3 linked regions of the Anolis sagrei genome follow. The protein of the gene in region 2 interacts with the protein of the main gene of each other region in a pairwise test. Links are inferred from orthologs where the notes say so. Each region holds a gene or a part of one and is shown on either strand. Other genes may lie near its edges. The genes, in order: SH2D3C, EFS and OSTF1.

Evidence for each region.
Region 1: the proteins of EFS (region 2) and SH2D3C interact in a two-hybrid assay, tested with the Homo sapiens proteins (2 studies listed by BioGRID and IntAct). The two-hybrid records come from large-scale screens. The link is inferred for Anolis sagrei from reciprocal best matches to the Homo sapiens genes EFS and SH2D3C.
Region 3: the proteins of EFS (region 2) and OSTF1 interact in binary tests that used the Homo sapiens proteins (3 or more experiments, as listed by UniProt). The two-hybrid records come from large-scale screens. The link is inferred for Anolis sagrei from reciprocal best matches to the Homo sapiens genes EFS and OSTF1.

What each region holds. Positions count from the first base shown.
Region 1 is NC_090031.1:16,137,862-16,148,665, reverse strand, and holds the start of SH2D3C (SH2 domain-containing protein 3C), read right to left. Parts: upstream 4,306-10,804; 5' UTR 4,213-4,305; coding exon 4,176-4,212; intron 1-4,175. UniProt on the Homo sapiens protein: Acts as an adapter protein that mediates cell signaling pathways involved in cellular functions such as cell adhesion and migration, tissue organization, and the regulation of the immune response.
Region 2 is NC_090026.1:9,004,175-9,014,768, reverse strand, and holds the start of EFS (embryonal Fyn-associated substrate), read right to left. Parts: upstream 5,200-10,594; 5' UTR 5,033-5,199; intron 5,026-5,032; exon of another isoform or gene 1,958-5,025; intron 1,952-1,957; exon of another isoform or gene 864-1,951; 5' UTR 739-863; coding exon 733-738; intron 1-732. UniProt on the Homo sapiens protein: Docking protein which plays a central coordinating role for tyrosine-kinase-based signaling related to cell adhesion. May serve as an activator of SRC and a downstream effector. Interacts with the SH3 domain of FYN and with CRK, SRC, and YES.
Region 3 is NC_090022.1:224,607,546-224,619,020, forward strand, and holds the start of OSTF1 (osteoclast-stimulating factor 1), read left to right. Parts: upstream 1-6,030; 5' UTR 6,031-6,261; coding exon 6,262-6,295; intron 6,296-11,475. Other genes in the region: NMRK1 (nicotinamide riboside kinase 1), read right to left, coding at 735-825, 3,368-3,396.

The sequences.
Region 1 (10,804 bases), on a different chromosome or scaffold from region 2:
TACGTATTTAGAAGTGATCTGTCTAAAAATAGCCAAGTAGTATGTCCTCACTCCTCTGGGGTGGAGCGCAACTAAAGGGACTAAAGATTTTTCCTCATCTTGAAACCTAAGCACCAAAGTCAGAAAATTACTCTCGAATTTACCTCCCTCTGCTGCCCAGCTGATGCTACCTGTGGATGATGGATGACTCTAAGGCCCATGCTGCTCTCCCTTTCTATGTCTCTGCATCTCTAAATCAAACATGGATTGGACTGACTTTCATGTAAAGAATGATTTCAAGCAGAAGATTCGCTGACATTCCCACAAATAAGGTACTGTAAAGCACCTTAATAATTGGGCCTCATGATGGCCACTCCATTTCCAGTGCTGGAGGACATTGGACATTGAGGTGACAAAGTGCTCTGATCGCTGTTAGCAAGCCGCAAGCACCACATGGCCGATGCAACTCATCTATTTCCATTATGGAGGCCCATCAAGCCTCCCAACCTCCTTGGGTTGGTTCTTTGGCTTGAATAGGGATGTGTTATTGCCCCAACCTTATTTTCCATCGTCATTGCTATGATACGTCATCTTGTTGATGGGAAGCTTCCCACCGGAGTGGAAATCATCTATCGGACAGATGGCAAGCTGTTTAACCTCAGCAAACAGAAAGCCAAAACCAAGCTTACAATACATCTGTTATAGAACTCCAGTATGCTGATGACAACGTCATCTGTGCACATTCAGAAGAAGAACTACAAGCCACTCTGAACACCTTTGCAGAAGCATACGAGAAGCTTGGCCTGTCATTTAACAGTGAGAAAACCAAAGTGCTTTTCCATCAGTCACCAGCCAACCCCTCTCCAATGCCAGAAATACAGCTTAATGATGTAACATTAGAAATGTTGACAATTTCCGCTCCCTTGGCAGCCACCTCTCCACAAAAGTCAACATTGACACTGAAATTCAACACCGCCTGAGCTCTGCGAGTGCAGCATTTTTCCAAATGAAGCAGAGAGTGTTTGAGGACCGAGACATCCATAGGGAGACCAAGGTGTTTGTTTATAAAGCTATTGTCCTCCCAACACTGCTATACGCCTGCGAAACATGGAGTATCTACAGACGTCACATGCAACTCCTGGAACAATTCCATCAGAGCTGCCTTCTGAAAATCCTGAAAATCTCTTGGGAAGACAAGCGGACAAATGTCAGCATGCTGGAAGAAGAAAAGACTACCAGCATTGAAACGATGGTCCTCCGCCATCAACTCCGCTGGGCTGGCCATGTTGTCCGGATGCCCGACCACCGTCTCCCAAAGCAGTTGCTCTATTCCGAACTCAAGAACGGAAAATGGAATGTTGGTGGGCAGGAAAAGAGATTGAAAGATGGGCTCAAAGCCAACCTTAAAAACTCTGGCATAGACACTGAGAACTGGGAAGCCCTGGCCCTTGAGCACTCCAGCTGGAGGTCAGCTGTGACCAGCAGTGCTGCAGAATTTGAAGAGGCATGCATGGAGGGTGAAAGAGAGAAACGTGCCAAGAGGAAGGCGCATCAAGCCAACCCCAACCGGGACCGCCTTCCACCTGGAAACCAATGCCCTCACTGTGGGAGAAGATGCAGATCAAGAATAGGGCTCCACAGTCACTTACGGACCCACCACCAGGATATTACACTTGGGGGACCATCATCCTTGGACTGCGAGGGACCGCCTAAGTTACTAAGTAAGTAAGTAAGTGAATGAGTGAGTAAGGTTCTTTGGCTCACAGTGACACCATCATTGCAAAACCAGGTATCATTTCTGAGAAGGGGATTTAGGTCACTAGAGGAACCTGTCTTAGATGAGGGTCCAGCTTCATTCTGGATGGCAATTTCACAAGTAGAATGGGTCCTATCTGAGAAGGAAGGTCCTTCTTGTCCATGCAACACTCACCTGTCAAAAGCCTATGAGACCTAGAAGCATAGAGTTGGAAGAGACCTCGTGGGCCATCCAGTCCAACCCATTTTGCCAAGAAGCAGGAATATTGCATTCAAAGCACCCCTGACATTTGGCCATCCAGGCTCTGATTTCAAAGAAGGAGCTTCCACCACACTCTGGGACAGAGAGTTCCATTGCTGAACAGCTCTCACAGTCAGAAAGTTCTTCCACGTGTTCAAGTGGAAACTCCTTTCTTGTAGTTTAAAGCCATTGCTCCATTGCGTCGTAGTCTCCATCGCAGCAGAAAACAAGCTTGGTCCCTCCTCCCTATGACTTCCTTTCACATAATTAAACATATCTCCTCTAAGCCTTCTCTTCTTCAGGCTAAACATGTCCAGCTTTTTAAGCAGCTCCTCATAGGGCTTGTTTTCCAGACCCTTGATCATTTTAGTTGCCCTCCTCTGGACACATTCCAGCTTGTCAACATCTCCATTCAATTGTGGTACCCAGAATTGGACACGGTATTCCAGATGTAGTCTAACTATGGCAGAATAGAGAATGGGTAGCATGACTTCTCTGAATTTGGACACTATAAAGGTCAAAATCCAGTTGGCTTTTTTTGCCGCCACATCACATTGTTGGCTCATGTTCCTTTCTCCCCCCTCGGACTCCAAGATCTCTCGAGCAAGGCGTCCCACATTCTGTATCTTTGCATTTCGTTTTTCCTGCCAAAGTGGAGTATCTTGCATTTGTCACTGTTGAACTTCATTGAGTTAGTTTTGGCCCATCTCTTTAATCTGTTAAGATCGTTTTGAATTCTGCTCCTATCTTCTGGAGTATTGGCTCTTCCTCTCAATTTGGTGTCATCTGCAAACTTGATGATCATGCCTTCTAATCCTTCATCTAAGTCATGAATAGAGATCCTGAACAGGACCGGGCCTAGGACAAAACCCTGCTGATGGCACTCCGCTCGTCACTTCTTTCCAGGGTGAAGAGGAAGCACTGGGGATAATCACCCTCTTAGTTCGTTTGCTTAACCCGGTGTTTTTTAACTCAAGGGTCGGAACCCCGGGGGGGGGGGGGGGTCGCAAGAGGGTGTCAGAGGGGTTGCCAAAAACCATCAGAAAATACAGTATTTTATGTTGGTCATGGGGGTTCTATGTGGGTTTGGCCCAATTCAGTCATTGGTGGGTTCAGGATGCTCTTTGATTGTAGGTGAACTATAAATCCCAGCCACTACAACTCCCAAATACCAAGGTCTATTTCCCCCAAACTCCACCAGTGTTCATATTTGGGCATACTGAGTATCCATGTCAAGTTTGGTCCAGATCCATCCTTGTTTGAATCCATAATGCTCTCTGGATGTAGGTGAACTACAACTCCAAAATTTAAGATCAATGCCCACCCACCAAACTCTTCCAGTATTTTCTGTTGGTTATATTTGGGCATATCCATGTCAAATTTGGTCCAGATCCATCCTTGTTTGAATCCACAATGCTCTCTGGATGTAGGTGAACTACAACTCCAAAATTCAAAGTCAATGCCCACCCACCAAACTCTTCCAGTATTTTCTGTTGGTCATATTTGGGCATATCCATGTCAAGTTTGGTCCAGATCCATCCTTGTTTGAATCCACAATGCTCTCTGGATGTAGGTGAACTACAACTCCAAAATTTAAGATCAATGCCCACCCACCAAACTTTTCCAGTATTTTCTGTTGGTCATGGGAGTTCTGTGTGCCAAGTTTGGTTCAACTCCATCCTTGGTGGAGTTCAGAATGCTCTTTAATTGTAGGTGAAGTTTAAATCCCAGCAACTACAACTCCCAAATGACAAAATGCACACACATCCCACACCGAATCCACCAGTATTCAAATTTGGATGTAGCGGGTATTTGTGCCAAATTTAGTCTAATGAATGAAGATACATATTGCATATCAGATATTTACCTTACGATTCATAACAGTAGCAAAATTACAGTTATGAAGTAGCAACAAAAATGATGTTATGGTTGGGGGTCACCACCACATGAGGAACTGTATTAAGGGGTCGCGGTATTAGGAAGGTTGAGAAATACTGTACAGATCCACCTAACCATAGTTTTGCCTAGCCCACATTTGCCTTGTTTGTTTGCCAGAAAAGACCTTGGCAACTTCATCACAGTCCAGGAGAGACTTTCCTCTTTCACACAGATGCCATTACTCTATAGAGATGTAATGCCGACCTATGTTCCAGCCAAGGCCAGAGTGAGCAAATCGGTGTCCTGCGGTGTGTTCACTTACTTTTGAAGCCTCCTCCCCTCTTCTGGCTTCCTTCCATGGTTTGGGTTCCAACGAAGGAGAAGAAATGTGCACCAGGCTTACAACTTTCATCAAGCCCTCTTGGCACCGAGCCTGCCTTCCTTTCCCACCCTCTCCCCCCGCCCTTTCTCGCTTTCTGTTTTGCTCACATTTCCTCTGCACTTGCACAACCCTACTCTCTGCGTTTGCTTTGATCCTTTTTTTAAAAAAAGAGAGAATGAAACTCAAGAAAGGAGAGGGAAAAAAAAGGCACACGATGCTTCTGCGTGCCCTTTCCCAACACTTGCTCCTTTGGTTGTAAGACGTCAGTGGTCCATCGCGGATTCTGCCAAAATTATTTTTCTTTTAATGGGGGATTCTGGGAGCTAAAACCCCAAAATTAAAAAAAATCTCAAACTCCTGGTTCATTTACCTCCTTTCCCTCCTCCTCCTCCTCCTCTTCTTCTTCCTACATCCCGGTTACATCCCAAATAGATTACTGCAATGTACTTATCCCGAACAGTAATCCCGAATAGATTATTGCAACTATTACTGCTCTGGTTACATTCCGAATAGATTACTGCAATGCACTCTACGTGGGGTTGCCTTTGAAGACTGTTCAGAGACTTCAACTAGTCCAACGGGCAGCAGCCAGATTACTCACCGGAGCGCCATACAGGGAGCATACCACCCCCCGGCTGCGTCAGCTCCACTGGCTGCCGGTCCACCTCCAAGCACAATTCAAAGTGCTGGTCTTGGCCTATAAAACCCTATATGGCTCCGGCCCAGCTTACTTATCCGAACGTATCTCTCTCTACGTTCCACCTCGTAATTTAAGATCTACTGGGGAGGCCCTGCTTTCGGTCCCACCGGGGTCACAAACGCATCTGGTGGGGACGAGGGACAGGGCCTTCTCAGTGGCGGCCCCTCGCTTGTGGAATTCGCTCCCCAATGAAATTAGATCGGCGTCCTCCCTCCTCACTTTTAGGAAAAAACTAAAGTTGTGGTTTTGGAGTCAGGCTTTCAGCTAGTGGTCTTAGCAGCACTTAGACACTGAACTGGACCACGGGATTATGACAATAGTAAACGGATATGTGATTTTGATTAGGCGACTACATTAGTATATGACTATGTGATTTTAATTAATGTTATTGTTAATTTTTTATGTATTTGATTTTATGTTGTTGTATTGATATTATGGCATTGAACTGTTGCCCATGTCAGCTGCCCTGAGTCCCCCCTCGGGGGTGAGAAGGGCGGGGTAGAAACGATGTAAATAAATAAATAAATAAATAATAATTCTTAGTGTTTGTCCCATCAATTTGCAGGGTCTGCTTGTTTGCTTCTTGTTCTCCACTTGTTCCTATCGGTCACTTCTCTCATTTTGAGTCTTGCTTCAACCATGTTGTTGTAGATCAGCCACCAGAGGCTGATGGCTTAACTGATGGTTTAGAGAGGATTGTGCGCTTCCCTGTGGCACAAAGTGATGGGCTCTCAAGTCTGGGAAATTCAAGTCTGGGGAATGATGGTTCTCTTTGTGAGAAATCTGGCTTCGAAAGTGCAAAGCCTCAAGGTATTCAGAGTAGTCAAAAGTAGCAACAGCAGCTAAGGAATCGAGTGAAGAGTTGAGTAAAGAGGGCTACCATTAGAACCCAGGTGTAGTTACAGAGATCAACAAAGGTCTTTGTTTATAAATCAGAGCTGAAAATTCAGAGAGATTACGTGGGAAAGCTGTGAAGGAAATTCACAGGAAACTGAATTATTTCATGGGTGTCTATTAAGCAACAAGTTGTTTACCTTAAGGTCAGTTCAGGCAACTACATTAGTGAGAAACTAAGCCTGAGTTCTTTTGTTCTTGGATCAAATCAAGCCTTGATTTTGGATTTGATATTCTGAAAGTTTTCTATGTTCCTGTTCATGTACTCCTTATCAAGTTTTACTAGTTATATCTTCTTGATTGTGGACTTATGTTGTATCTATGAATTATTTCATGGGTGTCTATTACATACGTTGTTTATCTTAAGTTCAGGCAATGCTGCGTTAGAGTGAGAAGCTAAGCCTGAGTTCTCTTGTTCCTGGTTCAAGTCAAGTGTTAATTTTGGAAGTTTTCTATGTTCCTGTTCATGGGCTCTCAAGTCTGGGAAATTCAGGTCTGAGAAATGATGGTTCTCTCGGTGAGAAAACTGACTCGGAAGGTGCAGGGCCTCAAGGGCAGTCAGGGGAGCCAGAAGAAGCAGCAGCAAATAAGGAATCAAGTAAAGATCTGAGTGATAAGGAGGGTTCCCATGGGAATCCACGTATAGCTACAGAGATCAACAAAAGTCTGTGTTTATAAATTAGAGACAAAAATAGATTGTGTCGTTCAGAGAGATTACATGAGAAAGTTCTGAAGGAAATTCACAGGAACCAACAATTTCATGGGTGTCTATTAAACAACAAGTTGTTTACCTTAAAGTCAGTTCAGGCAACACTACGTTAGAGTGAGAAGCTAAGCCTGAGTTCTCTTGTGCATACTGTATTTTTTTTACTTCCTTTTTCCAAATTGAATTACATACAGTGAGTCCTCTGTATCTGCAGTCCCCAGATCTACAGATTCAACCGTCAATTTCATATAGACAATATACGAAATTATTAGTAATTAGTAAGTTGTATCTAATTCATAAATTTTGGATATGCCAGGCATGGGTAAACTTTGACCTTCCTACCAGATGTATTGGAATTCCCACAATTCCTAACAGCCCCAGGCCCCTTCCTGTTCTCCCTCAGTAGCTTAAGTTGGAGGATTGATTGCCCCTAAAGAAAGACACATAACGGACCCATGACTGTCATTTCAAGCTCTGTGGAAACTAAATAGCCCCTTGAAACTGGACAGGGTCCGCCAGCCTTCAAATGGAGCCATTGTTAGGCCTCTTATCTGATGAGAGATCCTACAAAAAAAGGGAGAAAACATCAGCCTGGGGAGAAAGGAAGCAAGGAAGCGACTCAGCCAAAGAGCAGAGTGGAGCACCAGGAGCACAAAGGTCACTCCGCCCCCAGTGCCCCTGCGGGATGGAACAGGAGCTGTGCAACCATATCTTAAGGGCACTTCCCTTTTCCCCATGGAAAAATACATCCCAAGGCATGTGTCCTTGTTGTTGTGTACCATCATGCTGACTTCTGCTTAAGGTGGCCTTCTCATAGGGATCCCTTTGCCATTACTTATTCAAGGAGTGTGTTGTCGTAACCGAAGGCTTCTATGGCCAGAAGCACTGGTTTGCTGTGAGTTTTTTTGGCTGCATGTTTCGGAAAACCAGAATCTCCAGAATGTCCAGGGTGGGAGAAAGAACTCTTGTCTCTTGGAGGCAATTGCCCACCTTGATTAGCATTGAATGGCCTCGCAGCTTCAAAGCTTGGCTGGTTGCTGCCTGGGGGATCCTTTGTTGTGAGGTGTTAACTGGCCCTGATTGTTTAATATCAGGAATTTCCCTGACATGAAACTAATATCGAGCAAGAATTTAGGGGTCTTTGCCAGGAGACAGAGACCAGTCAGACCCACCAAAGAGAGTCCGTTCACCCTGGCAAGACAGATAGAAGCACCCAAAGAATTTTCCCTGATTTTTCCCGATAAAAGTTTCACCAAATTGAAGAAAATGCCATCAAATTGCCCTTATTTTGTTCCAGTTGGTACGGATGTCAAGCTGCAATCCCTTGCCAAAAACTGACATGTTTTGCAAGACAGAACAGTACATTTTTATAGAGAAACAGAGCTGTCAAATTCAAACTTCCCGCCCCCGTCCCCCTTAGCCGGCTTCACGCTGATTGGTTGGAGTCATCAGCTAGAGGGGAGGTGCGGCCGGCTTAGGCATGCCTCAGCCAATGAGAAAGCCAGCGCCGCTTCGGCCTCTCAGCCAATGGGTAGAAGGGAGGCAGGTAACAGGAAAAAAAATGAAGAAATGTCCTTTTGATTGGTTTAAATTATTAATGTTTGCAAAATAGGGGATTATGAGATCATTCCAACCTGGTGTCCTTGGTAAAACTATGAATTCCTTGGTTTTGAACCATCTTTTACAGAGTCCTGGGGGAGGGGGAGGTCACCTCCAATATCAAAACCAGCCAAGCTTTCAAGCTGCAAGGCCATTAAATGCTAATCAAGGTGGTCAATGACAACATTACCCATTTGCTTCAAGCAGACAAGAGCTCCTTCTCCCACCCTGGACATTATTCCACAGATCTATAAACCCCACTTGTCTAGTTTCCAACAGATCTCACAACCTCTGAGGATGCCTGCCATAGATGTGGGTGAAATGTCAGGAGAGAGTGCTTCTGGAACATGGCCAGACAGCCTGGAAAACTCACCACAACCCAGTGGTTCCAGCCATGAAAGCCTTCGACAACACAACAAAGGAGTTAATTTCCAATTTACTAACATCAGTGAGGCTGATAATAGCGAAAAATTGGAAATAAAAACATGATTTTCAGATAGAATAATAATAATAACAATAATAATAGAAGACTGGTACAAAGAAGTGTGGAATATAGCAATAAACGATAAATTGACATAAGACTAAAAAATAATTTGGAAATTAAATGTTTTTTGGAATATATGGGGGAAATTGATAGCACATGTCTGTGCTGAAGGGCAAGGAAGCAAACCTGCAGTGTAAACAATGATGTTTTGGAAATAATATATGAAGCGGTTAGGTCCAGGAGGGGACAGCACCCATCTTTATTTAATTCAAGGAATTTATGTTGTGGATAATATGTTAAAATTGGTAAAAACGTTGAAGCTCAACTCAACTGTGCGAAAACATAATAAAAGTTATGAAAAAAAAAACTAGAAAGACAAACAGAGGATGCCTCCAGGCAACAACAGCCAATAAATACCCTCACTGATTGACTCAGCAACTGCAAGGCCACTCAATACTAATTGCAACATTCACCAGCTATTGTCGAAGGCTTCCATGGCTGGAATCAGTGGGTTGTTGTAGGTTTTTCGGGCTATATGGCCATGTTCTAGATGCATTCTCTCCTGACGTTTCGCCTGCATCTATGGCAGGCACCCTCTGAGGTTGTGAGGTCTGTTGGAACGAGGAAATTTGGGTGGACATTCCACAGATATATAAACTCAAATTTCCTAGTTCCAACAGACTTCACAACCTCTGAGGGTGCCTGCCATAGATGCAGGCAAAACGTCAGGAGAGAATGCTTCTAGAACATGGTCATATAGCCCGAAAAACCTACAACAACCCATTCACCAGCTAACTCCTCCCAACAAAGGATATCCCCAGGCGGCAACCAGTCTGGGTTAGAAGCTGCAAGGCCATTAAATGCTAATCAAGACAGCCAATTGCAACATTCACACTTGCCACAGACCAGGGTTCTTTCTCCCACCCTGGGCACTATTCCCGAAGGAGACTCAATCCCGAAGGGGACTCAGAGCGGTTTACAAGATATATCTATATAAATAAAAATGTAATGTTTGTTTGTGGGATTAACAGAACTCAAAACCACTGGACGAATTGCTGCCAAATTTGGCCACAAGACACCTAATAACCCAAGGAGTGACCATTACTCAAAAAATTAATTTTGTCATTTGGGAGTTGTCATTGCTGGGATTTATAGTTCACCTACAATCAAAGATCATTCTGAACTCCACCAATGATGGAATTGAACCAAACTTGGCACCCAGAACTCCCATGACTAACATGGGCATTGATCTTGAGTTTGGGAGTTGTAGTTCACCTACATCCAGACAGCACCGTGGATTCAAACAATGATAGATCTGGAACAAACTTGGCACGAATATTCCATATGCACAAATATGAACACAGATGGAGTTTGGGAAAATAGAGCTTGACATTTGGGAATTGTAGATACTGGGATTTATAGTTTACCTACATCAAAGAGCATTGTGATCCCCACTAATGACAAAATTGGGGCAAACTTCCTGTGCGTGTGTGTGTATATATATATATATATATATATACACACACACACACACACGCACAGGAAGTTTGCCCCAATTTTGTCATATATATACACGCACGCAACACACATATATACATACATACACACACAATATTATTAGCATACATACTCTCCACTTGCCTCACTGACAAAAGAACCTCAGAGGATGCCACTGACCACAGATGCAGGTGAAACGTCAGGAGAGAATGCTGCTGGAAGATGGGCACACGTTCCAAAAAAAATCACAGCAGCCCAATCATAATAATTACTCATTTCAAACTTCCTGCCTTTACTGTAAGCCAGGCTTTCCCTGTGTCTTCGATCCCTCTTTCCAAAGCTTTGTTTTCCACTGAGTCTAATGAAGGCCTCAAGCGGACTTGCAACCTTGTACTCTACTTTTCCCTCAAAGTGGTATCAATATTCCTATATAAACATATGTACTATTATTATTAGTTAGGATTGCTTTCTGTCATTGCAATATTATTGTTGTTGTTTTCTACCATTGCAATATTGTTGTTGTTACTTGGGAGAGCCAGACAGGCCAGAGGAGAAGCAGCTGCAATCCTTCCCGCTCATTTCGCCGCCCACTTCCGGACTCTCGCGCAAGCCCCGCCCCCTTCTCGAACTACGACTCCCGGCGTGCATGGCGGCGGCGGCGGAAGCGGATTACCGGAAGTGGCGTCCCG
Region 2 (10,594 bases):
CCCTGTGCCATAGATTGGACATGACTTGAAGGTACACAACAACTAATTGGGGGACATAAAGGCCTTTCCACCAGCACGCCAATCATCAAATAGGTCACGGGACTGCAAACCTAATTTGACACAAACCCAATCCAAATTCAACTTCAAATTCTTATTTGGTCAACCTGCTAAATCACTTATTTTAAATGTGACCTAAAAGGACCCAGGTACATTTCAGAGAAAGCAACACCATGCATCCTCTCTCATCCTGCTGACTCCAAAACACACCACCCCCAGATACTGTGGCTGGGGATGATGGGTTTCCAAATCCATTATGTTGAGGCACTCCCTGCAGGTTGAGAGATAGCTGGATTAAACACTGTTGGAAGATTGGGTTGCGAATAGAAATACTTTAAGGAACAGAAGTGGCCAAAAGCACTTTATCCCTCTCCTCCTTTTCCAATACATTTTCTGTTCATACATCTCTTTATCTCAGACATGGGCAAACTTTGGCCCTCCAGGTGTTTTGGACTTCAACTCTCACAATTCCTAACAGCCAGCAGGCTGTTAGGAATTGTGGGAGTTGAAGTCCAAAACACCCAGAGGGCCAAAGTTTGCCCAAGCGTGCATCAGAAAATGGTGTGACCTAGTTGCCCTCCAAGGTCAAAAGGGCTCTTCCTCCTTGTCTCTACACTAGATTCCTGCAAACATAAATTAATTCTCGCTTTTCCTCTCCAGGTTGAGCATACTTACAGACATTTTGCTTCTCCAAAGGCAGGTTAAGCTATCCAACGCCGAGGACCCGTGTTTACCAATTATTCCTTCTCCATTCCTTTGATGTTCGACATCCTGGCTTCATGTGCATTTGTGATTCTTGAACTGCTCTGGAAAGAAGAAAAGATTCCTGAGAAAATGAAGAGTCTTTAAAGATCCAGTTCTTTTGGAAGACCTGATGACTGATACAAAAAGCAAACTGAGAAAAGTTGGCAATGTTATATTATAAGTTTGCCAAGCAGGAGAAAAATATACATTTCCACTGAAACCAAGCCCTGTATCTGGATGACAAAGGCTTCTCTGGACAGTTTGCAATTCTCTTTCTGTCTCTCCTTTATTCCCAGACGTTTTTGTTAACTCTTCCCAAATCTCTTGGTCAGCACATTTGCCCCAGAAAAGCCATTTGGGAAAAAGGCCTGGCTGCATGGATTGAGCCAGGCTGGGCGTAAACTCAACATGCTTGAACAGGGAATTGTGTTGCAACCGCAGGGAGGAATCGCAAGCCAAAAGAGAGACCTTTACAAGAAGTCTCCACAAATAAAAATAAAATAAAAACCATGCAAACACAACTTGGCACACCGATTCTGCAGTGTCATGAAATCCAGAAAGCCTGAACTTTCCTCTTAGATACAGAAAGCATGGCAGCTGGAAAGTCCCAATTTACAGTTCCCAGTGTCCTTTTCGGATCCCAATTTCATTCTCAGATTCAGAATAAATGGAAAGAAAATCCAGAATATTGGGTTTATTTAAAAATAATCCTGCAGGTTACTTTTTCCTCCTGAGAATTAAAGGCAATGGGCATCAAAATATCCAGATGTTTTGGCAAACACACTCCAGACCTCAAAATATGTATCTCACTGAATGCTGAGGTCTGGTTTCCAGCTTCCTCCCAATTGCAAAATGTATTGCCCAGATGCTTACTGAAATTCAAGAATTACCAATGTATTTGGAGTTTTGCCACACCAATTCCCAGCAAGTTCCAAAAAGTCAACTTTATAGAAATCACAATGCATGCAAATTCAACTTCGGTTCATTAAAAACCCTAGTTTTTTCATCTTGAAAGCTAAGTACTCAAAAGCCGCAGAATTCTAGAGAAAGTAAGAGAGGAAAACAGTTCAATCTTGCTATTTTTCCAAGCACATAGGACATAATCATCCTCTGGAACTATTCAAAAATCTTTTGCAAATTTTGAGGAATTGCATACAGTTTTGTTTCCAGTCCAGAAGAAGCACACCCAGTGATAACTCCCAAGACAAACTGTAGCAAAAAGAGATGTATTTCTAGCAGGTCTATTTCATCCAATCCAGATCCAGAAAGAGCACAGTAGTCCAAACCAATGACAAAGTCCAAAATTGCACGTGCTGCAATAAAAACATACAAAGATAAACAAATGGGGGCTGTCTCGAGAAGAACAAGAGCTGACAAACAAAGGGCTACTTGAAAATCCAGAAAAAGTGGTAGCAGAATCTAGACCAATCCAGATCAGCTGTTGGGAGCAAAATTCATACCGTCAGCTAGAAAAGAGTTTTGCATTTTGCACATTAACACTACAAAACTTTCAAAAAGTCTGCAAGGCTTTGCTCTTTCTTTGTGGGTTCTAAATAAGGGCTTGGCGAACAGATCCCCAGATGTTCCTCACTTTGGGGGAACCATAGATCTGTCAGATCCTTAGTGTTATTATCCTTGGTTCCTTTGTAGAAAGACAAAATTTAATTTCTGCTGAGGCTGGGAGGCTTGGTTTGCTGCAAGCGTTGGTGGAGGAGGGACGCTCTTCAAAGGAAAAGCAGGCCGCCCCGCTCACAAATGGAAGAGTTTAGAGCTTTTTGCATGTAAAGCTGGGATCCTGGCTGCCACACAAAGCCATAATGAAAGGGTTGGGTGCTGGGCCCCTTCTCCCAAAGTAGCAATTCCTCAGGCCCAGGAGAAAGGCGCGCCGTCCAAGTGGCACAAACCTAAACTGCTGGATGCAATGGCCAGACTCCAAAGGGAAATTATAGCTGAGGATGCTCTGGCCATATGAATGGGAGGGAGAGAGGGAGGGTGGAGGATGAGGAAAGGAGGAGAGAAAAGAGGGGGAGAAAGAAAGCCAGATGGGAGAAAAAGAAAGAGATGTAAGGAGAGGGAGAGGAAAGCATACGGCAGATGAGAAAAATGAATGAAGAGGTGCAAAGAAAGAAGAAATCAGGTGGAAGAGGAGAAAGAGAGAGAAGATGCTTAAAAAAAGGAATCAGTGAAAAGACAGAAAGATCAAGTAGAAGGAGAAAACAAGTTGAAAAGAGAGAGAAAATCAGGCAGAAATTAGAACATAATCAGATGGAAAGAGAAAATAAGCTTGGATGAGAGAAAACCAATTAAGTTTGAAAGAGAAAATCAGATAGAAGGGGAAAAGATCAAGTGGAGATTGGAGAGGGAAAGACTGGGTGGAAACCAAAGACAGAAATTAGCTGGAAAGAGAGAAAAAGTTTGAAAGACAGATATACTCTGGCAAAAAAAAAAAAGATCAGGTGAGAGAAACAATCAAGTGACCAGAAGAAACAAGTTCGAACAGGAGGGAAATCAAAGACAAAAAAAACAAGAGGAGAGAGAAAAATAAGCCTGAAAGACAAAATCAGATGGATTGAAAGAAAACCGAGTAGGATGGGAAAAGAAGTTTTGGAAGAGAGAAAGTCAAAGATAAAAACAGGTGGAGACAGAAAAGGTGTTTAAAAACGAATCAGAAGGAAAAAGAGAAAATCAAGTGGGAGGGAAAACAAGTTTGAAAAAAGAAAGAAAAACAAGGACAAAAATCAGGTGGAAAGAGAGAAAAAAATAGAAAAACAGATACACTCAGGCAAACGAAAGATCAGTAAGAGGAGAGAGAAAACTAAGTCTGAAAGAGGAAATCAGGTGGATTGAAAGAAAACCAAGTAGGAAGGGAAAATAAGTTTTGGAAGAGAGAAAGTCAAAGATAAATATAGTTGGAGACAGAAAAGGTGTTTAAAAATGAATCAGAAGGAAAGAGAAAATCAAGTGGGAGGGAAAACAAGTTTGAAAAAAGGGAGAAAACCAAGGAAAAAAATCAGGTGGAAAGAGAGAAAAGGTTTGAAAAACAGATACACTCTGTCAAACGAAAGATCAGTTGAGAGAAACTATCAAGTGACCAGAAGAAAAAAGTCTGAAGGAGAAGGAAACCAAAGACAAAAAAACCAAGAGGAGAAAGAAAAATAAGTCTGAAAGAGAGGAAATCAAGTGGAGAGAAAGAAAACCGAGGAGGAAAGGAAAAGAAGTTTTGGAAGAGAGAACAGGTGGAGAGAGAAAGTAAATCTGAAAGAAGGAACTCAAAAACACAAATCAGGTGAACAGAGAAAAATCAAGTGTGGAAGAGAGAAAATGAGGTGGGAAAGACAAAAATGAGGTGGAGACAGAAAAGGTGAATCAGGTGGAAAGAGAGAAAGATGAAGTGGAAGGAGAAAACAAGTATGAGAGAGAGAAAAAAACCAGGCAGAAGAGAGAGAGAAGTTTGGAAGGAAGAGAATCAAGGGGATGGAGAGAAAATCAGGTGGAAAGAAAGCACAATCAGGTGGAAAGAAAGAGAAAGCAAACCAGGCAGAAGGACAGGCAGAAAACCCGGTGGGAAGGAAAGAACAGAAGGCAAACTCACAAGGAAGGAATGGTAGAGAGGGAAGGAACCAGAAGAGAAAAAGAAAGCGAGCAAGGAAAAGGAGGCAGAAAAAGGCTCAAAGCATGCGCCTTGAGTTCATTGTCTTCAGTTTTCCCTCTTTGCAGTCTCCTTTCTCTCTCTCAGTTCTTTTCCAAACTGCCTTTTCTCTCTCTTCTTTGGAGCATGCTTTTTCTCTTTCTTCCTTTTTTGCCACCTGCCTTTTCTTCTCTCTTCTTTGGAGCCTGCTTTTTCTTCTTTTTTGCCACCTGCCTTCTCTTTTCTTTGGAGTCTGCTTTTTTTTGCTCTTCTTTCTTTTTTGCAGTCTTTCCCTCTTTTCCAATCTGCTTTTTTTGCTCTCTCTCTCTCTCCCTTCTCTTGCAATCTGCTTTTCCCCGCAGAGGATTACTTCTCTCTCTCGCCCATCTGCTGGGGGCTGCTGACCCTTTCCTTTTCTTCCTCTCCTGGATGGGGGGATTTTCTCCTCCTTTCTTCCGCCTTTCACCCCCCAAAGTCTTGAGCCGGCTCTTCTCCTCCTTTCAGCTCTTCCCCATTCTTTCTTCCTCCCTCCTTCTCCCCCCCTCCTCCTCCTCCCCTTTCCTGACCCAGCAAGCTCTTTCTCCTCCTTTCTTTCCCTTCTACCTTCTTTCTCTTTCTCTCTCTCGCTTGGCTTTCCGGAGAAAGGCAGAAAGAGAAGGCGAAGGAGATGGAGGGGAGGCAAGGAAAGGGCAGGCAGATGGATTTGGCTGGGAGCCCGAGGCCCCCCTCCCTCTTCGCCCAGGGCACACACGTCTATTCCTCCCCCAGCCTCCTTTTTCCCCTCCCTCTTTCCTCCTGCCTTTCAGTCCTGGGTCCTAAGAACACCCTGCTCCACTTTGCTGCAACCTTGGGAGCATCCTTTACAGCAGACATGGGCCAACTTGGGTCCTCCCTTCAGGGGTTTTGGACTTCAACTCCCACCATTCCTAACAGCTTCAGGCCCCTTCCTGAACTTCAACCTGAGGAACAGACACAGACTCAGTGGAAATCTCATCCTCAGAATCCCCATTGAAATCCACAAGCATGTGGACAACTTCATCAGAAAGGAAAAAGCCATGAAAATGAACAAAATCTGGGTACCAGTATTAAAAAAACTCTAAAATTATAACAGTACATAAAGAACAACACTCAAACACAGGTGAACTCCAGACAAGAAACAAACAGGGACAATGTATTGTCGAAGGCTTTCATGGCCGGAATCACTGGGTTGTTGTAGGTTTTTTTGGGCTATATGGCCATGTTCTAGAGACAATCCTGACGTTTCGCCTGCATCTATGGCAAGCATCCTCAGAGGTAGTGAGGTCTGTTGGAACTAGGAAAAAGGGTTTATATATCTGTGGAATGACCAGGGTGGGACAAAGGACTCTTGTCTGCTGGAGCTAGGTGTGAATGTTTCAACTGACCACCTTGATTAGCATTTGATTGCCTGGCAGTGCCTAGGGCAAACTTTTGTTGAGAGGTGATCAGATGTCCTTGTTTGTTTCCTCTCTGTTGTTGTGCTGTTCTAATTTTAGAGTTTTTTTTAATACTGGTAGCCAGATTGTGTTCATTTTCATGGTTTCCTCCTTTCTGTTGAAATTGTCCACGTGCTTGTGGATTTCAATGGCTTCTCTGTGTAGTCTGACATGGTGGTTGTTGGAGTGGTCCAGCATTTCTGTGTTCTCAAATAATATGCTGTGTCCAGGTTGGTTCATCAGGTGCTCTGCTATGGCTGACCTCTCTGGTTGAAGTAGTCTGCAGTGCCTTTCATGTTCCTTGATTCGTGTTTGGGCAATGCTGCGTTTGGTGGTCCCTATGTAGACTTGTCCACAGCTGCATGGTATACGGTAGACTCCTGCAGAAGCGAGAGGATCCCTCTTGTCCCTTGCTGAACGTAGCATTTGTTGGATTTTCTTGGTGGGTCTGTAGATAGTTTGTATGTTGTGTTTCCTCATCAGCTTCCCTATGCGGTCAGTGGTTCCCTTGATGTATGGCAAGAACACTTTTCCTCTGGGTGGATCTTCGTCTTTATTCTCATGGCTTGTTCTCGGTCTTGCAGCTCTTCTGAAGTCTGAGGTGGAGTCTCCATTGGCCTGGAGAGCCCAGTTGAGGTGGTTCAGTTCATCTTGAAGGAGGTGGGCTTCGCAGATTCTTTCTGCATGGTCTGCCAAGGCTTTAACAGGGACAGCTAATCACCTCTCAACAAATGATTCCCTCAAGCAGTAACACGCCACATCCAAACACTGTCAGGCCATCAAATGCTAATCAAGATGGCCAAATGAAACATTCACACCCAGCTCCAACAGACAAGAGTTCTTTCTCCCACCCTGGACTTTCCACAGATATATAAACTCAATTTTCCTAGTTTCCAACAGACTTCACAACCTCCAAGGATGCCTGCCATAGATGCAGGTGAAACGTCAGGAGAGAATGCTTCTAGAACATAGCCATATAGACCAAAAAACCTGTAACAACCCAGCGATTCCAGCCATGAAAGCCTTTGACAATACGCCATATTATCCATTCCTGGAGTGCATCTAAACTAAAGAATTAATGCATTAGGTTACTGCTTTAACTAACATGGCTCAATGCTAGGGAATACTGGGAGTTGCTGTTTGATGCCTCACCAAACTACAACTCCCACTATTTGATTTCATTGAGCCATGGCTGATAAAGCTACGGTGTCAAACTGCATTCAGTTCTGATACCTTACTAGAAGCAGAATTTCATCTTCATTTCCTAAGTAAGGAATATGAGCTTAGGTGAAGCACTGGTTTGAGAATTGGACTATGTTTCTGGAAACCAGGGATCAATCTCTGCTTGGCCATGAAGATGCACTGGGTGAGCTTAGGCAGGTCACACTCTCTCAGCCTCAGAAAAAGGCCATGGCAAATCTTTACGCAACAAATCTTGCCACAAAAACACTGTGATAGGATTGCCTTAGAGTTACTAAAAGGTGAAACAGTTTAAAGTCACACCATCAATAATAACATGGGCCAAAAGCAGGGCTGACTCAAGGCATTTTGCTGCTTGAAACAATGGCACTCACACCTTTGATACCTTGCTTATAAGCAAATTGGACTGGCAATCTGGAGCGTCATACAATTCTGTTACTTTTTTGGAATACAATTCTTAGGATTGCCCCATCAACATGACCAACAAAGCATTGTGGGAGATGTATAAGGTAACTTACTCAAATGGTGTAGTGTAATTATGCCACTGTATTAAAAGATAAAGGTTTCCTCTGATATTAAGTCTAGTTATATCCGGCTCTGTGGGGTGGTGCTCATTTCCATTCCTAAGCCGAAGAGCCAGCGTTGTCCGTAGATGCCTCCAAGGTCATGTGGCCAGCATGACTGCATGAAGTGCCATTACCTTCCCGCAGAAGCGGTACATATTGAGATACTCACACTTGCATGTTTTCGAACTGCTAGGTTGGCAGAAGCTGGGCCTAACAATGAGAGCTCACCCTGCTCCCCGGATTCAAACCACCAACCTTTCGGTCAGCAAATTCAGCAGCTCAGTGGTTTAACCCGCTGCACCACCACTGTGTTATGTCACAAATTCCCAATTTAGAGAAACTGCTGTGAATTTTGATTTATTTTGCAGAGTTTTCATGCCTGAAGCATTTCTTCAATGATGTTGAATTTGTTACAGTAAGTCGTAGCAGGATCAAGTGTGTGTTAAAGAAAAACCTTATGATGTTAATTATTATGTGCAGCTGGAAAGTGTGGTGCTCTGCTCATGCTCTGAGAATGTCTTCTGATATCTTTGGTAATGATGGCACTCTACCCATGCTCAAAGAGGGCCTGCCAGCATTTTTGGAAAGGGTGGCCCTCTGCCCATGCTCAGAAAAAGTCGACCGGCATCTTTGGAATGGTTGGTAATCTGTCCATGCTCAGAAAAGGTGTGCAGGCATCTTTGGAAAGAGTAATATTCTATACATGCTCAGAGCAGGCCTTCTGGCATATTTGGAAGTGGTGGCACTCTGCTCATGCTCAGAGGTCTGCTGGCATTTTTGGAAAAGGTGGAACTTTGTCTATGCTCAGAGAAGGTCTTCTGGCATCTTTAGAAGTCTCGGGACTCTTCTCATGCTCAGAGGAGGTCTTCTGGCATCTTTGGAAATGGTGGCACTCTGTCTATACCCATAGAAGGTTTCCTGGCATCTTTGGAAAGAGTGGTAATCTGTCCAGTCTCAGAGAAGGTTTGCAGGCATCTTTGAAAAGAGTGGCACTCTGTCCATGCTCAGAGAAGGCCTTCTGGCATCTTTGGAAGTCTTGACACTATGCTCATGCTCAGAGGATGCATACTGGTATCTTTGGAAAGAGTGGTATTCTGTCCATGCTCAGAAAAGGACGTCTGTCATCTTTGGAAGTTATGACACACTGCTCATGCTCATATTCTGGTATCTTTGGAAAGAGTAGCACTCTGCCCATGCTCAGAGAAGGCCTTCTGGCATCTTTGGAAGTCTTGACACTTTGCTCATGCTCAGAGGAGGCTTTCAGGCATCTTTGGAAGTCTTGACACTCTGCTCATGCTCAGTGGACATATACTGGTATCTTTGAAAGACTGGCACTCTGTGGCATCTTTGGAAGTCTTGACACTCTGCTCATGCTCATATTCTGGTATCTTTGGAAAGAATGGCACTCTGTCCATGCTCAGAAAAGATCTACCGGCATCTTTGGAAAGAGTGGCACTTTGCTCATGCTCAGAGAAGGCCTTCTGGCACCTTTGGAAGTCTTAACACTCTGCTCATGCTCATATTCTGGTATCTTTGGAAAGAGTAGTACTCTGCCCATGCTCTGAGAAGGCTTTCTGGCATCTTTGGAAGTCTTGACACTCTGCTCATGCTCAGTGGACATATACTGGTATCTTTGGAAAGAGTGGCACTCTGTGGCATCTTTGGAAACCTTGACACTCTGCTCATGCTCATATTCTGATATCTTTGGAAAAAGTGGCACTCTGCTCACGCTCAGAAAAGATCTACCGGCATCTTTGTAAAGAGTGGCACTCTGCTCATGCTCAGAGGAGGCTTTCAGGCATCTTTGGATATGATAGCATTTTGCTCATGCTCAGAGGTATGTTGGCATCCTTGGACAGGGTGACACTCTGCCCATGCTCAGAGAAGGTTTGCAGGCATCTTTACTTCATGTATTCGAGGATGGAAATTCCAGAAGAGGATTGAGTCTGGGCAGGTTGCTTACCCTTTTGAAAGAACAGAGAGGACACTGTTTCCGGCATCCAAATCTGTTATCTTGCCCACCTCCTCCCCTTCCAGGAATCCCTATTCTTAGGATTCCCGGTCTGCATCCTTTGCTATGGTGACAGCTCATGTTGTCAAAAGGCTGCCCAGGTATTTTTCCCTCGCAGCGGTTTTTTCCTTCATGCCTCAACCGCAGGGCAAACCCTGCCAGAGTGCCATGCAAATGGCCCACGATAAGCAAGGCATGGAAAGCCAGCCGGGATTTCTCTCCGAAACAAAACACACGTTCCTGGGAGACCATGGCAGCAGCACAACTGAGGGCCCAATGCCACACATTGTCTTGCAGTGGGGGCGTTCTCTCTCTCCCCACACCCCCAGCTCCACGTTTTTCTCCAGAAATGCCTCAGAATACAGGGGATGACTAAGTGCATATTTCCATCCAATCCGATGGAAATACAAAATACTATACCGTAATATAGAGCAGGTCTGGCCCAACTTGGGCCTTCTAGGTGTTTTGGACTTCAACTCCCACCATTCCTAACAGCCTCAGGTCCTTTTCATTCACTGGACCACATTTGGCACAAATACCTGATACCCCCCAATCTGAATATTGGTAGGGTTGAGGGGGGGGGGGGAATTGATTTTGTCATTTGGGGATTGTAGTTGCTGGGATTTATAGTTCACCTACAATTGGAGCCTCCGGTGGCGCAGTGGGTTAAAGCACTGAGCTGCTAAACTTGTTGACTGAAAGGTTGCAGGTTCGAATCCGGGGAGCGGCATAAGCTTGCGCTGTCAGCCCCAGCTTCTGCCAACCTAGCAGTTCGAAAATATGCAAATGTGAGTAGATCAATAGGTACCGCTCCGGTGGGAAGGTAACGCTGCTCCATACAGTCATGCTGGCCACATATAGGTGTCTATGGACAATGCTGGCTCTTTGACCTAGAAATAGAGATGAGCACCAATCCCCGGAGTCAGACACGACT
Region 3 (11,475 bases), on a different chromosome or scaffold from region 2:
ATTCTGGGGTTTGTAGTTTAGGGAGGGGGCTTTAACAGCCTCATTAAACTACATACCCCAGAATTCTGCAGGAGGCAGAAACTGGATTTAAAGTAGATTCATTCTCTAGTGTGATAATACAAATAGTGGAATGAGATTACTACAAATACTACAAATAAAATTGGAAGTCCACTCTCTACTTTTCTAAAGGCTGTTTGGTCTGTAAGATGACCTTCTTGTTGTTATGGCATAAATTGTTATCCTTTGTAGGATTAGGCATAACCCGCTGAGCTCTTGGCGAGGTTGAAAATGGCCTCCAGCCATTCTGAAGACATCTGCCCCTGCATTACCTCTAACTAATATATCCTAGTTCCACATGATTAGAATCAATGGGGTTGGAAGGAACAAAGCCGTAGTTCCTGGTCCCATTTCCCTATTGACATATTTGAAAAATCCAAGGCTTGGACATCCCCTCCACATGCATGAGCTCCATGCCTCAGTTTGGAACTGTGGCCAAGGCGGCTTTCAGATTGTAGGTTCCTGCTTCAGGCCTTCATCTTAAGACCTGACTTAACTTGACTACAGCTGAGTCAAGCCACAGGGATGCAAGTTTGATAGAGGGCTGAATGATTATCTTCCCTTCTTTTAATTGTGGGTTAAAGATTGGCATGGAGATCAAACCTGGTGGCAGATATTTTACTTGCGAGCTGAACAAAAAGATGGCAGCTTGTGAATTAATCTCTTGATTTCATTACCTTGAAAAAGTCATCTTGAGAGATGATTGTGCAGTTTGGAAACTGGTCCTTGAGTTTTCTTGCCAGAGTTGTCTTCCCTCCATTTGTTACACTGCATTATATATTTGAAGAAAGAATGCTAACATAGCAGATTATACTGTACAATACATAATAGCAACTGCAAGGTTCTGATAGCCTGCATTAGTAACATTGTTCATGATTTTAAACCACTCTTTTGTATGAGAAAGCACTATCTACATTGTACTCTGTCAGGCACACTTTGACCAGGAAGTTTTATTCTTTTCAAATAGCACATATTGTCAAATCCAAGGGCATATTTATTGTAGGAATATAAATCCTGCCTCAGATAATTTTTAGTATCTAATTTCATGATAAATACAGGATGGTTATGTCTAAGGAACAAGTTCTTCTCTGTTGTGGAGGTCAGATGTGGCCTACATCAAGTTTTTGCCAAATGACCTGCTAGCTCGATTTGATGAGAGATATAATGTTAAACATTGGTTGGGCACATTGAAGTGTAGCTAATGTGTTGCATTGAATTAGGATGGGTGAAATCACTATCCTCCAATAAAATAGCCTTGGTGCTTTGCTGGTATGCTGCTATAACCATTCCTAGACAGGTTCAAGCTGTCAGATATCATTCATACACTGCCAACCTCAAGATTGGATTACTATCATAACATAATACAGGGCTACCCATGCGCTTACCTTGAAGGCTATAACTAGTGCATTATACAATAGGTAATCAATACTACAGTATACTAAAAACCCTATACTGGCTACTTAGTCAAATTCAAGAGACAACTCTTTGTTTATAAGGCTCTAAAAGGCTCAGGAGAAGGTTAGCTGAGGGGCCACCTTCTTCCACATATACTATCACAGTTTCTCTGCTTTGGAGTGGTGGGAAAATTTTATTTAATGTATCACAGGCAAGTGACATTCTTTTAGTTACAATACAATGGAGGCCTTTTCTGTTGTGGCCTCATTATACGAATTCTTCCACTAATACAAGGGAAGTGTCCAATAGACATTGCCAATCATGCAACTTGAAGACTTGTTTGTTCAGACATTTTCCTGATCTCCATTTTCCTGATCTCCAATTGTCCCACATACATGACAATTTAATGCAGTTCGAAGATAGCTTCCAACTGCGGCAGCCAGGCAACTAACTCCCACAAAAGCATGCAAAATAAAGTCCTTAATGTGCATCAGTGCTCTGTGGTTTATGTAACAGCCTTTGTAGTAAGAATCAAACTTATGGTTTCCTCATAGTATTTCCTTGCATAGTAACATTGAGCCGTTGAGGGGACTCCTAAGCTTGTGCATTTGAAGTGCTCATGCCACTAAATTGCTGCTCCTTCATTATCACCATCTGGACCTCAAACTAGTTCCAGGCTTTCCTATGGAATCATCTGCACAGTGAAACCAGTTTCTTCAATACCGGTTTGAAACAACATTGTAGATTGGGCCTAAGTCTGCCTGTGACTATAAGGGATTCAATAAAATATGCTACTATTATTGGCCTTTTCGTGTCCATGATAATGATGCCTTGCCCTCCCTTGAAAAGCAATTTATTTCCTAGTCTGCATTAAGCGCATAGTGTGAGATCTACATAAGACTTTAGCAAGAGTATTCGATTTTTCTCTGAGGAAGGCAATTGCACTGTCTACCCACATAATTTGGCACCTGGAACAACATCCTGGTGAATCTTGAGAACCAGTACTACAGTAACCATCAGGGTTTGAGTGCTCATAAATTCAGGCACATATACATTTTTTTGCTGGGTTTATCATGTGTATCTTATTTTCATATGCCAAACATGAACAGTCAATAAACAATGTATGTTATGCTTTCATGGATATGGTTTTATTTCCTATTGGTAATCCAGAATCCTATTACCGTATTGCCTGATAGGGTCAGACCCCAGCATTCTTACATTATTTTATGGTTTCCTTGCTTGATTTTCTTTTGTTTTGTGGCACATTGTAAATCACTTTGGAATTTCTGGGTTGTTGTAGGTTTTTTTGGGCTATATGGCCATGTTCTAGAGCAGTGGTTCTCAATCTGGGGTCCCCAGATGTTTTTGACCTACAACTCCCAGAAATCCCAGCCAGTTTACCAGCTGTTAGGATTTCGGGGAGTTGAAGGCCAAAAACATCTGGGGACCCCAGGTTGAGAATCTTCAGAGGTTGTGAGGTCAGACCCCAGGTTGAGAATCACTGTTCTAGAGGCATTCTCTCCTGAGGTCTGACCTCACAACCTCTGAAGATGCCTGCCATAGATGCAGGTGAAAGATCAGGAGATAATGCCTCTAGAACATGGCCATATAGCCCAAAAAAACCAACAACAACCCAGTGATTCCAGCCATGAAAGCTTTCAACAATACACTTTGGAATCTTTTGGAATAAAACGCTTTATGGAAAAATCTATATAAATAAATCGGACATAGATAAGAGAGGCCAGATAGCAGTCTGGTAGCTCTTATCCATGTCTGAGGATAAGAGATACAGGATATGATGTAGGTTGAAAAAATAAAGTGAAAAAAGATGGGAAAAAATATACCCCACATTCAATTATTGATAAAAACTTAGCATATAAAGGAAAGCAGTATTGTAGATTATGTTCACACTCACCCTCCAAGTCCAATGACCAAGATTTTCATAGTTCCTTTTTAATCTAAAAAATTAAATTGAGAGGATTGTGTGTTAGGAACAAATATTTTTTTTCCACAATCTATTTTTGATAGACTGCAAAAGTAAAGTAAAATTAGACATAATATGTAATTCATATCCAAAAATCCCACTTGTAAATATTTGCTGGGAAGGTTATATCTATTTGCAAGTTTCTTTGTTGCCCGTGTATTTGCAAAAGCCTTTTTCTCCCACCCTGTGCCATGTCTGCCGAATCTTAAACTAACACAAAGCCTTCATTTATAGGAGGTTCACCATCAGAAATCGAAATATACAAACCATTTTACATTGTAGGTTGCCCGGATTACAAAATAGAAGCAGCTCAGTAAGGCATTATTTAAACAAGCATTACACATAAAATATGGCACACACACCCCAATAGTTATTGAAGTATCACAGACATAGAGTATACTAGGGACAAGGTATGCAGCACATGTACTTGTTGTGATATCATACATTTTATTACTAAACATTTCAGGGCCCACATCTGTGAGTGTATCTACACTGTATGATTAATGCAGTTTGCCCCCACATGAACTGCCATGGTTCAATGCAATGGAGTCATGGAAATTGTACTTTCACAAGATCTTTAGCTTTCTCTGGCAAAGAGTGCTGGGACCTCAGCAAACTACAATCCCCGTGATTCCATAGCATTGAGTCATAGCAGTTCAAGTAATGTCAAACTGCATTAATTCTACAATGTGGAACGTGTTGTTTAGATACAGATGCAAACTATTAGTGCAAATGAAAAATATTAATATAACCGAAATGAGAAATATAAATGTAATTCACTAGGGCAGTGGTTCTCAACCTGTGGGTCCCCAGGTGTTTTGGCCTACAACTCCCAGAAATACCAGCCAGTTTACCAGATGTTAGGATTTCTGGGAGCTGAAGGCCAAAACATCTGGGGACCCACAGGTTGAGAACCACTGCACTAGTGAAAGAGTTGCTGCTGAGCTATTTATCAACCAAAAGATAAAAGCCTCTGGACTCTGTTACGTAAATTCTGGTGCAATTTAAAAGTTTCAGTCACCAGAGCAGAAAGCCAAGACAAACTAGCAAACACTAAAGAGGGACATTGTGTGTATGTGCCTTCAAGTCCCCTCTTGACTTATGACGATCCTATTAATTTCACAGAGCTTTCTTTGGCAAGGAATACTCAGGGATGGTTTTGCCATTACATACAATGAAAAGACACCCTGGAGTTATATTCTGTACCTTTGTCTGTTATAGACATTGAGTTTGATTCTTCTTTAACTATGAAATATTTCAAAAGGACCATCACAAAATAAATAGAATAAAAATGCCATTTATGACTTCCACTGAGTTATGACCAAATTATATTGATACACAATTTAAGACAATGCTTTGTTACAAATTACAATTATAGCTTTCTTGTGTAGGGTCCTGTGGCAATTCAACATCATGAGGTAGCCCAATCCTTACCACACTTTTAAAAAGGCCACAGTAGATTCACTAGTTATTAGGGTGTATCTATACTATAGGTAAAGGTAAAGGTTTTCCCCTGACATTAAGTCCAGTCGTGTCCGGCTCTGGGGGTTGGTGCTCATCTCCTAAGCCGAAGAGCTGGCGTTGTCCGTAGACACCACCAAGGTCATGTGGCCAGCATGACTGCCTGGAGCACCGTTACCTTCCTGCTGGAGCGATACCTATCTATCTACTCACATTTGCATGTTTTCAAACTGCTAGGTTGGCAGAAGCTGGGGCTGACAGCGGAAGCTCACGCCGCTCCCCGCATTCGAACCTGCAACCTTTCGGTCAACAAATTTAGCAGCTCAGCAGTTTAACCCACTGTGCCACCAGGGGCTATCTATACTATAGATATCTATACTCTAGAACCTATATAAACTAGAGAATTAATGCAGTTTGACACCATTTTATCTGACATAGTTCAATGCTATGGAATCCTGGGAGTTGTAAATTGGTGGGGCTTAGAGTGCTTTGTCAGGGATGTTGAAGAGCCTTGCAAAAATAAAACCCCCAGAGCTCCAGAATTGAGCCATAGCAATTAAACTGGGATTAAACTGCATTAATTCTAGAGTGTAGATGAATCCCTAGTCCATCTACACGACCTATTTCAAAATATTACCATTATCTTTTAGAGCAAAGCTCTTATGCAACCAGCAAACATCAAAGCAATCCAAGAACTGCACCCACTTACCTTCCTTCTTCGAACAAAAAGTGCAAAAAACCACAATAAAGACACCAGGGTCTCCTCTGCCTGTCACTCACAAGCCACGCCCCCTTCTTCTCCAACCCCGTTAGAGAAAGCACCGTCGACCCCGCCCACCAAGGAAAGGGGAGGTGGGCAGTCCTATGCAAATTTGCTACATATAAGCTCCGCCCCTTTCTCCTACACCCCAATAGAGAAGCAAGGCACGATGCGAGGACGTTCTATGCAAATAGGGTATATTCAAGCCCCGCCCCTTCCTCCTCTAACCCGTTACAGAAGCACCATCGGTCTCCCACTCCCAGGAAAGGGGCGGAGCATATGTAAATACACCCACTCCCATAGGCCAAGTCTCTCAAGTCCGAGGGTGTCGCCACGCCCCCTATTCGGGATTGGCTGGGCGCTAAGTCGGGAGAGCTGCCCTGGGCAAGAGTCTTTCCCAATGCCTGCGGTGCCCAAGAGCGGCCACTGGGGGCGCAGCGAGCAGCATCTGCTTCGCAGTGGCGACGCTTCCCACTTCCTCATCTTCGCGAAAAGTAACTTGTGAGCCTTTCGGGGCGGTGGGCGAGGCGATCCCTGCAGGAGGAAGCAAGCTCGATCGACCCACATCCAAAAGGCTTGGAAGGCTCGCCGATCCGACCCAGCTATGTCCAAGCCGCCGCCTAAACCGGCCAAACCAGGTAAAGGGGGGAGATCTAAGCTTTTGAGCCAGGAAAGGGGGAGATCTACACTGTGGAACGAATGCAGTTTGGCATCACTTCCTCGGAGTTGTAGTGAGGCACCAGCACTCTTGGGCAGAGAAGGCTGGAGACCTTGTGGGACTACAACTCCCAGGATTCCATAGCCTTGGGCAGTGTGGCAGTTCAGCATTCGTTTCAACCTTGACGGAAGACTCGCAGGAGAGCGTGAGAAGAAGGGGAAGATCCACCTTGACACGTGGATCACTTTTCCCCCTTCGGAAAAGCATTGCCTTCCTTTCCCTCCACTCCCTGCAGCGTCAGCATACGCTTGGCACGCGAATTAGCACAGAGCCCGGGGCTGAGAGAGTGTGACTTGCTGAGCCAGGATTCGCACCCAGCACTCTCGACTCCAACCACGGTGGCAGCGTAGCTCCTGGGTTGTTGTGAGTTTTGAGGGCTGTATGGCTATGTCCCAGAAGCATTCTCTCCTGACGTTTCGCCTGCATCTATGTCAGGCATCCTCAGAGGTTGTGAGGTCTGTTGGAAACCAGGTTTGTATCTCTTTGGAATGTCCAGGGTGGGAGAAAGAACTCTTGCCTGATTGAGGCTACTGTGGATGTTGCAACTGGCCACTTTGATTAGCACTGAATAGCCTTGCAGCTTCAAAGCCTGGCCGCTTCTTGCCTGGGGGAATCCTTTGTTGGGAGGTGTTAACTGGCCTTGATTGTTTCCTGTATGGAATTCCCCTATTTTCTTAGTGTTCTTTATTTACTGTCCTATTTTAGAGTTTTTTTAAATACCGGTAGCCAGATTTTGTTCATATTCATGGTGTCCTCTTTTCTGTTGAAATTGTCCTCATGCTTGTGGATTTCAGTGGCTTCTCTGTGTGGCCTGACATGGTGGTTGTTACAGTGGTTCAGCAATTCAGTGTTCTCAGATACTATGTTGTGTCCAGGTTGGTTCATCAAGTGTTCTGCTATGGTTGGCTTCTCTGGTTCAATCAGTCTGCAGTGCCTTTCAGTTATTGTCATTTTTATTGAAATAAGAAACAATCAGGGCCAGCTAATCACCTCCCAACAAAGGATTCCCCCAGGCAGGAAGAAGCCAGACCTTGAAACTGCTAGGCCATTAAATGCTAATCAAGGTGGCCAATTACAACATTCACACCTGCCTCAAACAGACAAGAGTTATTTCTCCCACCCTGGACATTGCAGAGATATACAAACCCAATTTTCTTAGTTTCCAACAGACCTCACAGCCTCTGAGCCTTCCACAGATGTAGGCGAAACGTCAGAAGAGAATGCTTCTGGGCCATGGCCATACAGCCCGGAAAACACAGCAACTCAGTGATTCCGGCCATGAAAGTCTTCGATAATACAGCATGGCTCCTGTTTCCTAGAATCTAAAAAAAATCTAACTTGATTTACTCTTGTCCCAAGTCTGTTTTTAAGAGACTTGGAGCTGATAACACTGTAGAATGAACGCAGTTTGTTTGACATTCCCTTTAACTGCCATGGCTCAATGCTATGGAATCATGGGATCTGTAGTTTGGCAGAGAAGGCTGAAGAGGCCTTGGTAAACTACAACTCCCAAGATTCCGTAGCACTGAGCCAAGGCAGTCAAAGTAGTGCCAGGCTGTATTCAGTGGACAGTGTAGACGCGCCCATTGAAAGAGAGAGACAAGAGAGATAGAGAGAGGTAACCCGAAGCCTTCCTCCCTGATCCGGGGTGTGGCCGGCAGCGGCAGGGATCGATCGCGGAGCAGGAAGTGCGGTGCAGACTGCACCAAATGCTCCCTTTCTTCGCCTTCCGCCCGCAGAGCTGAGAGAGAGGGTGATCGATCCAATGGGATCTTCTTACAAACGCTGCTGCGGTTGGTGGCAGCAGTGACTTGGGAGAATTTGTTTTGGTGCATCTTTGAAGGTGCCAAAGCCTTAGGGTGTATCTAAACCAGGCATGGGCAAACGTGGGCCCTCCAGGTGTTTTGGACTCTAACTCCCAAAAGTTGGGATTCACCCAGGCAGGAAGCAGCCAGGCTTTGAAGTTGCAAAGCTATTCAGTGCGAATCAAGATGGCCAATTGCAACATTCACAGTTGTCTCAATCAGACAAGAGTTCTATCTCCCACCCTGGACATTCCACAGATATATAAACCCAATTTCCTTAGTTTCCAACAGACCTCACAACCTCTGAGGATGCCTGCCATAGATGCAGGCGAAATGTCAGGTGAGAATGCTTCTGGAACATAGCCATACAGCCCGGAAAAACCAGCTGTTAGGAATTGTGGGAGTTGGAGTCCAAAACACCTGGAGGACCAAGTGTCCCCATGCCTGATCAAAACTGTAGGATTAATGCAGTTTAATGCCACCGTTAACAGCCATGGCTCCATGCTATGGAATCCTGGGAGTTGCAGTTTGATGAAGTACAAGCACTCTTCGGCAGAGAAGGCTAATCACTGTAAAACTACTGCCATCTCTTAGCATCAAGCAATGGCAGATTTTCAAAATCATATCATAAGCGACTTGAGAAACTGCAAGTTGCTTTTCATGTCAGCAGAGATGTTGCTCAGGGGACGCCCAGATGTGTTACCATCCTGTGGGAGGCTTCTCTCAGGTCCTCGCATGGGAAGCTGGAGCTGACAGACAGGAGCTCGTCTTCAGGTCAGCAGTTCAGCCAGATTTCAACTCCCACAATTCCTAGCAGCATGGGCAAACTAGGGTCCTCCAGGTGTTTTGGACTCCCAACTCCTACAATTCCTAGCAGCCATTAGGCTGTTAAGAATTGTGGGAGTGGAAGTCCACAACACCTGGAGGGCCGAAATTTGCCCATGCCTGGGTTAACCCATTGCACCACCGCGGCTTCCACCACCATGGCAGTCAAAGTGGTGTCAAACTGCATTCATTCTTCAATGGAGATGCATCCGTAGATACCAACAGACACCACCCTGGATACGTCTTCTGAGGCTTAAGGTGCACCTTAAGGTCTAACTGATATCTAATAGGAGCTACAGTCTAACAGTTGACACCCCAAAAGCTGGACTTTACCTCTCCTTGCCTCAACATCTAATATGTTTGATTTAGAATACAACCCACTGTCTCATGGGCGGTTGCCTGGCATCCTTGTTGTTCAGAGTGGAGCCATGTGTAGCATAAAGAGTGTGTGGACTGAGTCAGGTGATGCCATTAGAGGGGCCACAACCAAAAATATCTAAATTTTGTGCAGTGTTTCAGCCTTTGTTTGTTTTTTGTTTTTTGTTTTTTAAATCCCTGTAGCACAATATAACACAAAGTAGTGTTCCCTCGCTACTTTGTGGTTCGCTTTTTTGTGGACTCACTGTTTTGCGGGTTTTTGCCTCCTGGCAACGATGGAGTGTGGAAGGCGGTTTCACCCTCCCCCTCGGGGGAGAGACAGCCAATCATAAAAAAAGAGAGAGAGGCACGGCCTTATAGCCCCTTATAGCTAACAAAGAAAAAAGAAAAAAAGAAGTGTGCGGTTCCTTTAAATCTCTCCTTGCTTCTACCTCACCCTCAGAATGCGATATATATAGATATATATAGCGCATCCCTATCTTGCAGATTTTCACTTTTTGCGGGTGGTCCTGAAACATAACTCCCGCGATAAATGAGGGAACACTGTAACCTCAAAAACAACTGTGTATGTCCAGTTTAAAGGTAAAGGTTACTGCTTGACATTAATTCTGTCATGTCTAACTCTGGGGGGTAGTACTCATCTCCATTTCTAAGGAATGCAGTTACCTTTCTGCCAAACATATTGCTCTATTCACATTTGCATGTTTTTGAACTGCTAAGTTGGCAGAAGCTGGGGCTAACAGTGAAAATTCACCCAGCTCCCCAGATTCAACCCGCTGACCTTTTGGTCAGCAAGTTCAGCAGCTCAGCAGTTTAACCCACTGAACCACCAGAGGCTTCAATTTATATCCTTTATCCAGCATTCTGAATCCAGTAGGCTCTCAGGCTGCTTCTATTCAGCCACATACTAATAGTAATAGTAATAGTAATAATAATAATAATAATAATAATAATAATAATCAACTTTATTTATACCCCGCCACCATCTCCCTGATGGGGACTCGGAGCGGCTTACATGAGGCCAAGCCCAACAACACAATACAATAAATGATGTCAAAACACACACAATAACGTGATAAATTACATGAAACATAAAAATACAACAAACAATTTAAAATTAAAATCAATCATAACGCAGTGATTGTGACAGTGACAGTGAATGGGCCGAATGTACAGAATAAAATACTAAAGCTAAAAACTAAAAACATGGGGTGATATAGGGATGGAGCCGATTATTTGTGAAAGAGAAAATCTTCGGAAATGAGGTCAAGAAGGATCAGAATGTGGATTAAAGAAATCCAGTCTCCACATGGACCTTCAGGAACCGCAAAAAAGTTCCCACATAGTCACAAGGCTCCCCTCGTACCAAATTGATCAAGAGGAATATTTTTTTCCCCTTACCTGGTTGGAAGAAATGAACCAATTGCAGCAGCTCTTTGGATGAGAATCAGAAGTAGAACTCACCTTTTAGCTAAAAAAAAAAAAAAAAGGGGGGGGGGGGAGAGGTGTTCATTTACCTCACTGAGAGCATCATATCCAGTTCCTTCATTTGAATTTTCCAGTAGTGCTTCTGTTTACATAAGTGCTGCGCATGTTGCTCTAGAATGTTTGCTCTGCCACATCCATTCACTGATCAACTGCAGTGAACCGTAGTGATGCAATGGGTTAAACCCTTGTTCCAGCTGAACTGCTGAACTGAAGGTCCACGGTTCGAATCCGGGGAGTGAGGTGAGCTCTTGTCTGTCAGCTCCAGCTTCCCATGCATGGACATGACTGAAGCCTCCCACAGGATGGTAACACATCCAGGCGTCCCCTGGGCAACGTCATTGCAGATGGCCAATTCTCTCACACCAGAAACTACTTGCATTTAATCTCAAATCACTTCTGACACAATAAAGCTACAGTACATTTTATCACTGATTTCGGACTTTCTCCTGACTTTTTAAAGCACGTGTTTTTTGTTTGGATGTGCTCTGCAGCACACATTAGGAGCTTGTGTTTTCTATTTATTTTTATTTATTTGAAACATTTATATTCCGGCCTTCTCACCCCGCAGGGGACTCAGTGTGGAGTACACTCGTATATACAGCAA